Oryzias latipes: one gene and its partner. The protein of the gene in region 2 interacts with the protein of the main gene of each other region in a pairwise test. Links are inferred from orthologs where the notes say so. Each region holds a gene or a part of one and is shown on either strand. Other genes may lie near its edges.

What was found.
Region 1: the proteins of yae1d1 (region 2) and oraov1 interact in binary tests that used the Homo sapiens proteins (3 or more experiments, as listed by UniProt). The link is inferred for Oryzias latipes from reciprocal best matches to the Homo sapiens genes YAE1 and LTO1.

Annotation. Positions count from the first base shown.
Region 1 is NC_019861.2:4,833,896-4,840,061, reverse strand, and holds the start of oraov1 (oral cancer-overexpressed protein 1), read right to left. Parts: upstream 3,559-6,166; 5' UTR 3,478-3,558; coding exon 3,350-3,477; intron 2,775-3,349; coding exon 2,669-2,774; intron 2,584-2,668; coding exon 2,513-2,583; intron 766-2,512; coding exon 645-765; intron 141-644; coding exon 69-140; 3' UTR 1-68. UniProt on the Homo sapiens protein: The complex LTO1:YAE1 functions as a target specific adapter that probably recruits apo-ABCE1 to the cytosolic iron-sulfur protein assembly (CIA) complex machinery. May be required for biogenesis of the large ribosomal subunit and initiation of translation.
Region 2 is NC_019878.2:20,808,124-20,814,042, reverse strand, and holds yae1d1 (yae1 domain-containing protein 1), read right to left. Parts: upstream 3,925-5,919; 5' UTR 3,785-3,924; coding exon 3,668-3,784; intron 3,580-3,667; coding exon 3,458-3,579; intron 2,330-3,457; coding exon 1,885-2,329; 3' UTR 1,605-1,884; downstream 1-1,604. UniProt on the Homo sapiens protein: The complex LTO1:YAE1 functions as a target specific adapter that probably recruits apo-ABCE1 to the cytosolic iron-sulfur protein assembly (CIA) complex machinery. May be required for biogenesis of the large ribosomal subunit and initiation of translation.

The DNA of each region.
Region 1 (6,166 bases), on a different chromosome or scaffold from region 2:
CCGGCGGGCTTGAGAGCCCTTAGATGCAGCAACAGGGGGCTGCAGGGCTCTGCATGGCAGCTGTGAACTCAGAACGAAGTCCCCTCGGCCACCTTGATGTAGTCCCTGAAGTCCGTGGGAATGTTCAGCATGGAGCAGACCTGCAGCAGCGTACAGACGTCAGTCAGCAAAAACTTTATTTACACTTCATACATGAAACTCATCCATCTGAGAGCCTTTAACAGCTGCGACTGAGTGACACGACAACGGCCCAAAGGTGAACGCTGTGTGACGCACATGCTGAGATCTGTTCACAACATAAGAGCAGTACCTCGTACTTTCATACATTAAGATGTTTTTAAATGTTTTACATGAAAGCAAATGCAGCATACAGGAAAATTAAACTAAAACACTGTTGTGTTCATGTTTGTTTGATACTTTTTAAATGTTTACAATCCATTTAAAATCTTTCTGCATTGAACTTCTAGTAAAAACATTGTGATGTTGCATCTGAAGCTAAACTTGGTTTATTCATTTATTAAGAATTTTTTCAGAAAAAAAAATCATTTTTTAACAAATCCGTGCAGTGCGTACAAGAGGAGTGGAAACGTAGATGGAAGGAATTTTCAAGGCAACCATTAAAGACTCAGGATGAAATGGGATACCTGTCTGAACTTTGCTCGAAGTTTCTCCGTCTCATCTTGCAGTTTTTCAGACTGTGGATCATCCAGGTTACAGTTCTGGATCAAAGCCAGCACGGCGTCCAAGGCCTTCACGCGCTTTCTGCTGACACAACACATTGAGCTGGAACGGGCCTCAACTCAAACTCCACACAATCCTTCAATGCTGGGAAATGTCCGGGATGCTGCCTGACGCAGAGCGGCGACCACAGCACCAATGTTCAGAATCCAGGGATTCCCGACCTACATGGAAAACTGCACATGTTCCAACCAACAGTTTTTGTTGTCCGTTTAATTCCTTAGAAGGTTGGTGTGTATTTTTACCAAAGGTTTCAAATCTGCAAGTTTAGCAGAGTCCTACAAAACCACAGAGACTGAAGGTGGATAACTTGTTCTGGATCCAGATCCAGAACCAGCAGAACTAAAATTGCGTAGTAGCCGTAAATGCCATCAGACCACTCTCGGCCTCAGCATTTCCTTACAAAAAGGTTTATGAAGTCATTGCATCTACACTGAGCCAGAACACAAGAGATCCTTCCATCTTCCTCCGCTCATCCGGGACGGGTGGCCCTTCTCCACCTCCCTGTAGCCTCACCCTTTGTCCTCTAGAATGCAACAAGACAGCAGAAGAAGCTCATGTGGAAATAAGAACTACAGTCAGAATAACCCCAAAAACAAGTGCTCTCCCACTCAATTAATGAAGAGGTTTCCTGCGCCCCCTTGTGGACAGCAATGGATTGGTCACAGATAAAAGGTTCTAGTGGAGAAAATAAAACCCGTTTGGACAAACAGAATATCACTTCAAACAGCTAGAACAAGAACCATAAGAGTTACGAAAGAGGAAATCCTTATCTGAGTTTGCTGAACCCAGAAACTCACTGCAAGTTCAGAAAAAACTCACCAAGTACAAGGGACTAAAAAACAAATAATTCTTTTATTCACACAACCCTTCCGGTGGGCGTGTTTTGTAGTAAAATCCACCTTTTTCTACTTAACAGAAGACTGGAGGCAAAAACAAAGCCTGACTATGGCGATCCTCTCTCCACTAGAATGAGCAGCTTCTTCACCATTTGCTTCGACTCTTCACCTGGACCCAACAGGAATCAGAACAGCACCAACCAACCGCATGCAGACTCACGTTACGGAAAATGTACGAGCGCGACATGAAAAAACAAACAAACCAAAGAACTCCCTGATTATCAACAGTCTGTGTGCTGCAGGAAACACTGTTCACTCGGGGGGAGGACGAGGAAAACACAATATCCGTCATGGACACGAGGGTCCAACGCAAAGAGGACGGCAGCACAACGACAACAGCACTTTGAAAACCCACACACACATACCAGCACCTGCAATGACACAACACCCCCTCTACTGTAGGGAGCAGGAGCGGGACACTCTACAGGCGTTCACAGGGTGTGTAACGCACAGAACCTAATGGGTCATTTTCATGCCCCATCATGCACCCTCATCCCTTTTATGGCCTGGCCTCCTGGTGAATGGCACAGAAGGCTGTCTTGCCTGTGGATGTGTAGCTTCTGACTCAGATGGAGGCTTCTTTAAAGGCTTGCAGCTGTTTTGAGTTGATTAAGGTGTGATTTCATGACTTTCCTACTTTAAATTCTTTAAAAAAAAATGATTCTTAGTTTTGAGGCTCTGTAGATATTTTAGAATAAAGGGTTGGTTTTAATTTACTTTTTTTGTCTGTTTGGTTTAACTGTAAAGCTATGAGTTGTTCAAAGCGTGAAAAGAGCCTTTTGATGAATAACGCTTGATTTGGATTCACATGAACGCTCAACACGACTGTGACTCATAAACGTCTTGTAGTTCCTGAAACACCCCGAGCAACGTACCTTGACTTGTCATCTGTGCTTTGCTGGAGGAGACACTTCCATGTGACGGCAAAACCGTAATAGAAGGAGATCTGTGGCATGAGACGATCCAATCAGGACGTGGTGCAGCTGAGTAAGGCTGGACAGACGGTCACGGGGACCGAAAACTGGACTCACCTCAGAGGACAGCTTGGCTCCATGGGAGGCTCCGTGTCGGCGGCCGTCCTGCAGACCACGGCGAGTCCCCTTCTCAAAACCCTCCTGGTAACCTTCACCTCGAAACCTGGAGAACAGTCAGCAGAAAACCCTACATTACTCCCATGACATCCTGGGATTTGAACCACAGCTTTCCAAAAAAATAAATGAACCACAAAAGAAAAACAATAATAAATGCTGTTCTTTTATTGACTGGAGTTTTCTGCAGGAAATTTAAAATAAAAGGAGGAGAGGAGGGACAGAAAGCAAATTAAAAATAACAGCGTTAATGAAGACGGTCATGATCCCCGTGCAGCGGAACCCACATCCGGTGTTAGACCGGAACCCGGTGAGGGGACTTCACCAGATGTTGTCCAGAAACGCACTGATGGGGAGCATCCTAATTCTTTTACTACCAAAATGTGGCGTTTACCCGGTAACCACACGGTTAACTTAAGCGCATGCGCAAAGCACACCCGATCGTGAAAAGTTTTACCGGTCGAAAAACAAACACATTCTGACGATTTTTAGAAATGCTTTTTGTTTCTATTCAACATCTTACGACAGAAAAAAAGGCAAAAACGGTTTAAATAGAAAACATCGTGAAAATAACATAAAAGAGAACAGAAAATGTAACAATAAAGGTATAAATGTTACACTGACGACGTTTCTAAGCCGTCAAGCGCGTGCCCCACCAATAAAACAACGTTTATACAGAAAACTTGCTTTTCATCGGCTAAAATGATGCTGTCAAACAGATCATCCGCTGGGTGGACGCCAGGCATCTCCATTCTGCAGCCAACTAAAGAGCTGACGGCAGGAGATCCTCGCAGCTGCTCTTCTTCTATGTCAACACAGTGTGTTCACTATGGACGTACAGAGCAGCACTGCCCCCTACCGGACAGCGGGACTCACTGCATGCAAACACACGAACAGTGTTTGGAGTCAATCTGTAATACAAGTTTGCCCGTTAGAGACCATTGTAAAATGTCTCAATTAAGATAGAATAGAACAGAATATACCCCACAAAGGAGAAATGATCTAGCTCTAATTAAAAGAACGCAGATAAATAATAACACTGAAACATGATACTAAAACAATAAAAACAATAATTATGTCCAGTGCCCAGTGGCGCCTCCAGAAAGTTTTCATGGGGGTGGCCGGTAGGGGGCCACATTAAATCTTGGGTGGCACACAAAAACCATGAGCTGCATTTTTAAAATTCATTCTACTAAACGTAGTAAAACAACCCTTAGAAAACCAACAGAAAGTTAAATGCCTACTGATTTTTTTCTAGAACATTGACTTATAGTTGATACTACTATAGATTCTAGTAGATGTCATTAGGCCAGTGTTTTTCAACCTTTTTTGAGCCACGGCAGACTTTAACCTTGACAAAAATCCTGCGGCACACCAGCAAAAAAAATTTTTCAATTTAAAAAAAAAAAGGAGAAACTCATAGTCTATATTGATCTAAAGTCCTTCTGCAATCTCACATGCATTTTGTGACAATTGTGGCAGAAAAATCTGATGAAATAAAAGTTAAGTTAAAAGATTCAAAAACTGTTTGATGTGTGTTCGTTGTTGTTACAAGACGTTTAGAGGAGAGACTCACTTTGCGCTGAGACGCTGTCACTTTAACCCAATGCATCATGGGAGATGTAAACAGCCGCCAAGCGCAGAAAGACTAGCGTCTCTGAGCTTCCTTCTTTTCTTCACTTGTTCCACGGTCTGATACCAGATTCAGTGGAAAGATACACCGCTAAAGACAAGCTTTAGCTGGTATTTTTGTTGGAACCGAGCGACTTTATGAGCAGAATCAGAACAAGGAATTGAAGACTTTAACGACTTCTGATTGGTCAGACTGATGACATGTGATTAAGCCTCCAAGAATGATTGGTGGAGACAGTTAAAGGGGCGGGACTTTACAGAAAACAGTTAATACTGCAGATAAGAAGTATTTTACGATCTTTCATATTCCTAACTACTCAGTGTTTTATCAGGGCCTGATTGGATGAACACAGAGCTGATATCCTGGAGATGGAAAATGTTTTTAGATCAGTTACCGTAATGACAGTAATTTCCCACGGCACACTGGTGCGCTGCGGCACACTGGTTGAAAAACACTGCATTAATTCTAACTTCACCAGTTGGTCCAGGAACAGGTGGAAGACTTTTTGCTGAGTTCTGCCTTGTTTCTCTGACCAATCATGCTGACTGACCCTCCTCATCAGATGCCGTCTCATCTTTGTCTTCCTCATTCTCTTCTGTCATTCATGCTGCTCTGTCTCATCTTCCTCCTCCTCACTACTCCTCTGTTACTCCCCAACCATCTCTTCCACTCCTTCTGCTATAATTTTCTTCTTAAAATAAGAATATATGTTGAATTTCTCTTCATTCTCTGAAAATTGACTTACACAAGCATCAACTAATGACTGTAGGTAACTATGTGGAAACAGGACAAAAACACATCAAAATGTTGTGGTAACACAACAACCAGTGCTTAAATAGTGCCATAAAAATGAGAAGCGCGTGTGACAGGGACATCCTTTTTTACATATTAATAAAAAGTAATGGCACATCCACCACCGCTGATGATGTGTATTTGCACCAAGTATTTGCAAACACAACAGATCAGGTGATCTAAAGTACAGTAATGAAATTGTTAAAAGACACCACAGAGAATATTTAACAGGCATGAAAAGAAATGTAGTGTTTTGGGATGTGTGATTGTGTGCGTGCGTGCGCATGTGTGTATGCGTGCGTGCGTGCATGCGTGCTGAAACTGGTGCTCGCGCGATGCAGGAAGAGAGGGGGGAGAGCGCGTGTGAGGGTGTGGAGCGCATACACACGCGGTCAGTCGCCGTTTTGGACTTAAGGAAAAAGCAATAAAGTTCATCTTTAGTAACTGATATTGGTTCTTTTGTCTAACCGGCCCGGAGGCTCTGGGGGTTCGAACCCGGAAGTGAACCCCGCGTCTTATTCATATTCTGCGTCCCACGGCTCGTCTGTAGATGTCTCCGCACTCAAAGACAGCAGGGAAGGGGCCCCGGGTGGGGGCCGCTTTAGGTGATTAGAGCGACTTGCCCGCTTGCTGGCTGTGCATTTGGGATGAAATGCACAACTGATGCTACCTGCTCAGTTTATAGTGGGGTGGGGTGGCCAGGTGTCGGAGAGGGGTGGCCCCTGGTGGGGCCACTGGCAGTGTCTATAAGGAGTTGTAGAGTCTTAAGGCTGACAGGAAGAGATCTATGCAAAAGCACTTCTGAGGAGGAGCTTCTCCCCACTGGAATCAAGATGTCTAATAGATAACTAATAAAACGCAACGCATGGTGTGACGGCGATACGATTGGCTGGGAGAAACTCATCTGCTAGAGATCTGACTGAAAACGACTGAATAAAAAAATTCTCCACCAAAGTTTTCATAAAAAGAAAATAAGGAGTTGCACATCAAAAAAGTGGTGGACACCAAGTTGTAAA
Region 2 (5,919 bases):
TGACAGAAATAATCAACCCGTCCTCTCGCAAATTTTAAAAGATGGTTGGGTATGAAGTCAACGCCCGTTGTAGCCATTTTTGACGTTTATGAGGCCTTGACCTTTGACCTCTCCCAAAATTCATCGCACACTAGCATATTTGTGAATCTGAAGCTGGGAAAAACGACTTCAACTACTAACAAACAAAAAAATGTGCAGCACAGATCCATGAAACTGAAGTGTACTGGCCTTATTTGACAAAGTTGTTCAAAGCATGGCATCCACACTTTAAATATCCACACATTCAAAACACGCGTGGCTAGAGAGCCTTAAGTGGACACAGAGATCAATCACATTCATTCAACTTCTGCTGAGTATAAATCTCACTTTGGACCAAACTATTGACAATTGAAAAAAAGAAAAAAGCACCAAAAAACTGGATTTGGGGCTGAACTGTTGGACAGATTCATCATATGACTATAGAGGAGACAATAAATTTCAATTGTGTTCAAAATAAATGACTTGAGATGGACTAATGTTAAATGTGTTATGTTTGAAAACAGCTTTAATAGTTTTATGCAGTGAGACTTTAGGAGATTCGAATAATCAAGGAAACAGGAGTTACCTAGTTACCTAATCCTATTTAAATGTTTAACTTCAAATTAAAACGTTTAAGTAAAATCAATGTTAACTGTCCGCTTTAATCTCAACATATTGGTTTTATTTTACAAAAAGAGGGCAAGTAGATAAAAAAAATGCAGTAATAACTTAACTTAAGTGAATCCTAATATTATGTTATGAATGAAATGCAAGGAAGTATTTTACATTTTAAGGGCAGCAAATTTTAAAAACATAAAACTGTATTGTTAAAAAATGAACGTACCTTTATTCAATTTAAAGTCAAACTCTCAAAAGTTGAACCCTCGAAGCTCCTCTTGTTTCACTTTTGTGGAGCAGGTTAGCCTCTTAGCCTGGCAGCTAGCTGCAGCAAACTTAACGCACAAACGTGCGTTTCTCCGGAGCGACTGCCGTGCGGGGAACTCGATGCCGCCGCATGTAGTGCGTTCCAGCAACACCTCAATGTGGACTCCCGCAGCACAACGGCGCACAGAACGCGAAATTTCAACGAGCTTCCCGCGAAACATCTGTACGCGGACCCTTTAGCTTAGCAGGAGCAGCAGGTCACGGTTCGGTCCGAGGGTGACGTCATACTGATGTGCGACTGAACTTGTGCCACGTTCAGGTGCGCCTCGTAAAAGAGCTGCCAAGTAAATCACAATACGATGTTTCGCGTTCAAAATCAAAACTATAAACTATACTCGTATATGCTTGATTTAATCTGTACATATCTAATTTAGCCTTACATTGTGGGGAATATTTTTTGTATACATTCATTTGTAAAATCGTTTATATATATATATATATATATATATATATATATATACTTAAAAACTTTGCTAAAACCTTTTTGAAGCTCTACAGTTGTATAAAAAATATTTTATCAATAACTTAGTTCCCGTTATATGCTCTAAAATAAGTTACAAATTTTCTCGATAGAAAACCTACTCTTTAAATTAGCAGTTGGTTTGCATTTATAAAAAAAAAGCTAAAAATAAATATGTAAATATGTAAATTACATATTTATTTTTAAGAAAAGGTGAAAATAAAAACTTTCCCCATTTTTAGAACAATAGGTTACAACCAAACCTCGTGTCGCAATTTCAGCATTAGAACTTAAATACCCCGCTGTTTTTACACACCTTCTGTTTTGGATCAAAACAGATATTTATGATCAAAAACATTATTTACAAACCATAAAATGAAAAAGTAATCTTTCATAAATTATACACATTTCTGTTTGTGAAAGAAAAATGTTCCAGCAAGACTTTTAGTCTGTAAATAGATTTAAAACATGCTGCTCATGCGGTCGATGTTCCCGAGCTCGTGGATGTGATCCATCAGCTCCTGCGGCAGTCCCAGCTCTGATGCTAAATCCATACAGCACTGCAGGAGCAGGTGTAGACCTTCACCTGGGCTGGAGGAACAGCTGGTGGACCCAGAGCGGATCTTTTGGTTTTGGTGAGGGTTGTCCACATCCATATTTTCATCTCTCTTGTTACAACACGGTCCACTTCCTCCATCTCTGCAGAGGGAGGGATCCTCCTGCTCCACATCGAGAGCGTCCATGCTTTCCGAAACGTCACTCACACTCGGAGGGGGATTTTCCAAAGCCTTCCTGATGTCCTCCATGATCTGGGTTTCGTGTTCTGTAACCCGCTGCAGGAGGTCGGTCACAGGGGTGGGAACTGGTCTTTCTGGATGCTGGATCTGGCACCAGCACCAGACCGCCCTGTGGCGGGGAGACACAGAGGGAGCCGTGATGCACATAGAAAAGACTGGAGCGGCCGTCTGACGGACAGAAAAGCGCATTCAATAAACCATCACAACAAAGGAAGTCAGGATGTTTCTGCACAAAAACCCTGTGAGGGATTCTTTAGTCAAAGAGGAACAAAAGTGAAGTGATGATGACGTCAAAACACTTAAATGACCTTCATCGGACAGTGAAGGTCAGAGCTTCCCTACTTCCTTTACAACTAGTCAGGATAAAATGATTGACTTTACTTTAAAATATCAAGTTATAAATCATTAAATCATTCATAATTCACCCCTAAACAATCAGGAAACAGATTACAACTATGCTAAATGTCACAAACACATCATTTTTTACACTTTTTTTTAACCAAGAAAAAGCTAAACTGAGTGTAGTAAAATCTTGAAATTAGTGTATTTTAAACATGTATAAAGATTAGCAGTAAAACGTTATTTTTTTCAGTTAAATCTCCCCAAGTAACGCTTTAGAAACAGCAGTGCTAGCCACACTTTTTAAATTGTGATTATTATTGGAACTAAGACTTGTTGACCTTTTTTAATCCAATTATTTATTATTAAAAATTACTCATTAGCCGAGAAGAGTGTAAAGATTAAATCCCACTACACCTATAACATTTGAAAATTTCTGAAACTGAAAAGACAATCTGTTTTTTAACGTTTGTAAAGCAGATTTGATTAAAAAACATTAAATAGAAAATAGGGCAAACCAGCTTTTTTTTAATCTATAGCAGAATGTCTATTAGGTTTAGGACAAACAGAGCACAATATGGATCCATATTTCCTATTTTAAATCAGTGTTTCAAATAAAATGAAGGAAAAACTGTTTTGAAATTTCAAAATATAAGTGAAAAGAGCAGAATTTATAGTTTTTCTTTGGTCAGACTGCATCATTTACGCTATAAATCAGCTACTTTTACTCAGTACTTGAGTTGCTGTTTTTAACCTAATTTTCAAATTTACTTAAGTGGAAACTGGAATTACTACTTGTTACTTCTACTCTGTTAGTACTTGGGAGCAAGGCTACTCTTACTTGAGTGGGAATTGAGCATAATCTATAGCTTTCAGTGACATGTCAGGTGAATTTTACCCCAGAATTCCTCGCAGTCGACCCACAGCTACAGTCTGGGCTGCTCCTTCCTTGAACCCCAAGTTAAACCCGACCTGAAGAGAGGCTTCCTCCCCGGCATCAACTCCATCCACATATCCGTCCTGTTCGGAAGAAAAGAAGTCAATAAAGTAATAATAAATAAATAAATAAACGCCAATAATATGCTAACTTTTTTTTTTTTTTTTTTACCATGACGCGTTTCTTCATGTTGGAGGTCCACTCTTTGCTCTGTAAATGAAGCTCGTCTGCGTTTTCGTCGAACACATCTTCACTATTAAGCGACGCGGATTTCACCCAAGACATCATGAGCGAAAACGGACGGCAGGTTTCTGCGACAAACGTTTACTTTTGAGTGGAACTGGACTGAAAACGAGCAACGCTTACAGACATTTTAGCCGCCTCTGCGCCTGCTGCTAGCTAACGCGGTGACATCATCAACCTGCGACGTAGCCTCAAAAATGTTAAATATTAAGAGGAACATTAAAAAGAAAATATTCTTATTGAAATGTTATATTATATTCAATCAAAGTTTGTAAAAATATTATTTTTATTTAAACATGTAATTTAAGAAAAAAATGTATTTTACAACAATGCTGGTGTTCATATTGACGTTTAATCTAATTTAATTTGAATTTCTACTTAATGTTTATTTGCTTATTTGATTTGTCGTTTTCTTGCATATTCCAAAGAATGACAAAAAACATTGATGACAACAGAAAAAAAAGGAAAAAGATGGTTTAAATTCAGACTGCATATGTGCTCTACACATGTTAATTATTATAGATAAAATATTGTCATTTTTTATTGGGAGAAGAGATTTAATTACATTTTGAACAATTTTTGTTCAATATTTTTTGTTAATTTTTATTAATAATATAATCTCTGTAGACAAGCCTGGATTAATTTGTTTAAATGTTGCACACATAACTCCACACTTAGCTAAAACTACTAATTGTAGTATTAATTAGTCTATGCTGCAATTAAGGCCGTATACTTGAAGTTTAATTTTTATACATCATCTATAAATTGTAAACTTAAAATGTCCCAATTAAGTCTGAAAAAGTATTTAGCACATGTACATAGACTATAGTATATTTGCTGTATGTATGCTTATACTTATGTATACCCAATAAAATATGCACTGTTGTAACTATGTAGTTTGTCCTCTTTTGGTGAATAGCAGGTCTGTTCAAAGGCCTGTTTAAGTTAGATTAGTCCTGTCTTGGTGCAATCAGTGACGCCTCCAGAAAATTTTCATGGGGATGGCCGGTAGGGGACAACTTTAATCTTACTTTAATCTTAGGGTGGCACACAAAAAAATGAGCAATATTTTTAAAATTCATTCTACTAAACGTAGTAAAACAACCTTTAGAAAACTAACATATGTTAAATCACCACTGATACTACTACTGTTATTTTATACAACATTAACTTATAGTAGATACCACTATGCAGTAGATACTAGTAGATATCATTAGTAGACACACATTCATCTTCTGCCATTTTGTTCCTTTCTGGGTCACGGGCTGCCGGACCCTATCCCGGCCACTTGTGGGCGAAGGCTGGGGACACCCTGGACAGTTCGCCAGTCTGTGGCAGATTAGTAGATCCTACAACTGATAATTTGATTAATTGTGTTTATATTTAATGCTTAGGTGTGTCTGCTTGGTGTGTTCGGCTCTTGACTGTTACATATCTATAATGAACAAAAAGTGAAACCAGTTGTTCTGAAATAAAAATAAAAATACCTATTGACATTTCTATTGAGATTAATTACACATGAAACAGTTTTATTATTAGGGCAACATATTTCTAACATCACCTGTTGGTCCAGGAACAGGTCAAGCCCTTTTTGCTGAGTTCTACCTTGTTTCTCTGACCAATGATGCTGACTTGTCCTCGTCTGATGCCGTCTCATCTTTGTCTTCCTCCTCTTCAGTCATTAATATTGGCTGTGGATCATGCTCTGTACTTTTCTTCTTAAAATAAGAATATACGTTGACTTTCTCTTCGTTCTCTGAAAATTGACATACACAAGCCTGAGCTAATGACTATAGGCAACTCTGTGGAAATAGGACAAAAACACATCAAAATTTTGCGGTAACACAACACATCACACTCTGAAAAGAGTATTTGGGCTGTAGTTGGAAAGTTAAACTTTTTTACATTGATCTAACTTAATTATCTAGTTTGGTGAAAATATTTTTTTTTAGTTCAATCAACTTAAAAATAACCCCGTAGTTGTCGGACATAGTTATTTTACTTTCAATCAACTTAATTCAATTAAGTTGGTGTAACTTTGGTGTGAAGCTGTCAATGTGTCATGACGTCATATCTTGAGGCAGAGCAAGCATGGCCGGCCCTCCCTATACGCGAATTACGCAGCCGCGTAGGGCCCCCGTCACCAGCAGGGCCCCGAAGTGGCGACAAAAATTAAATTA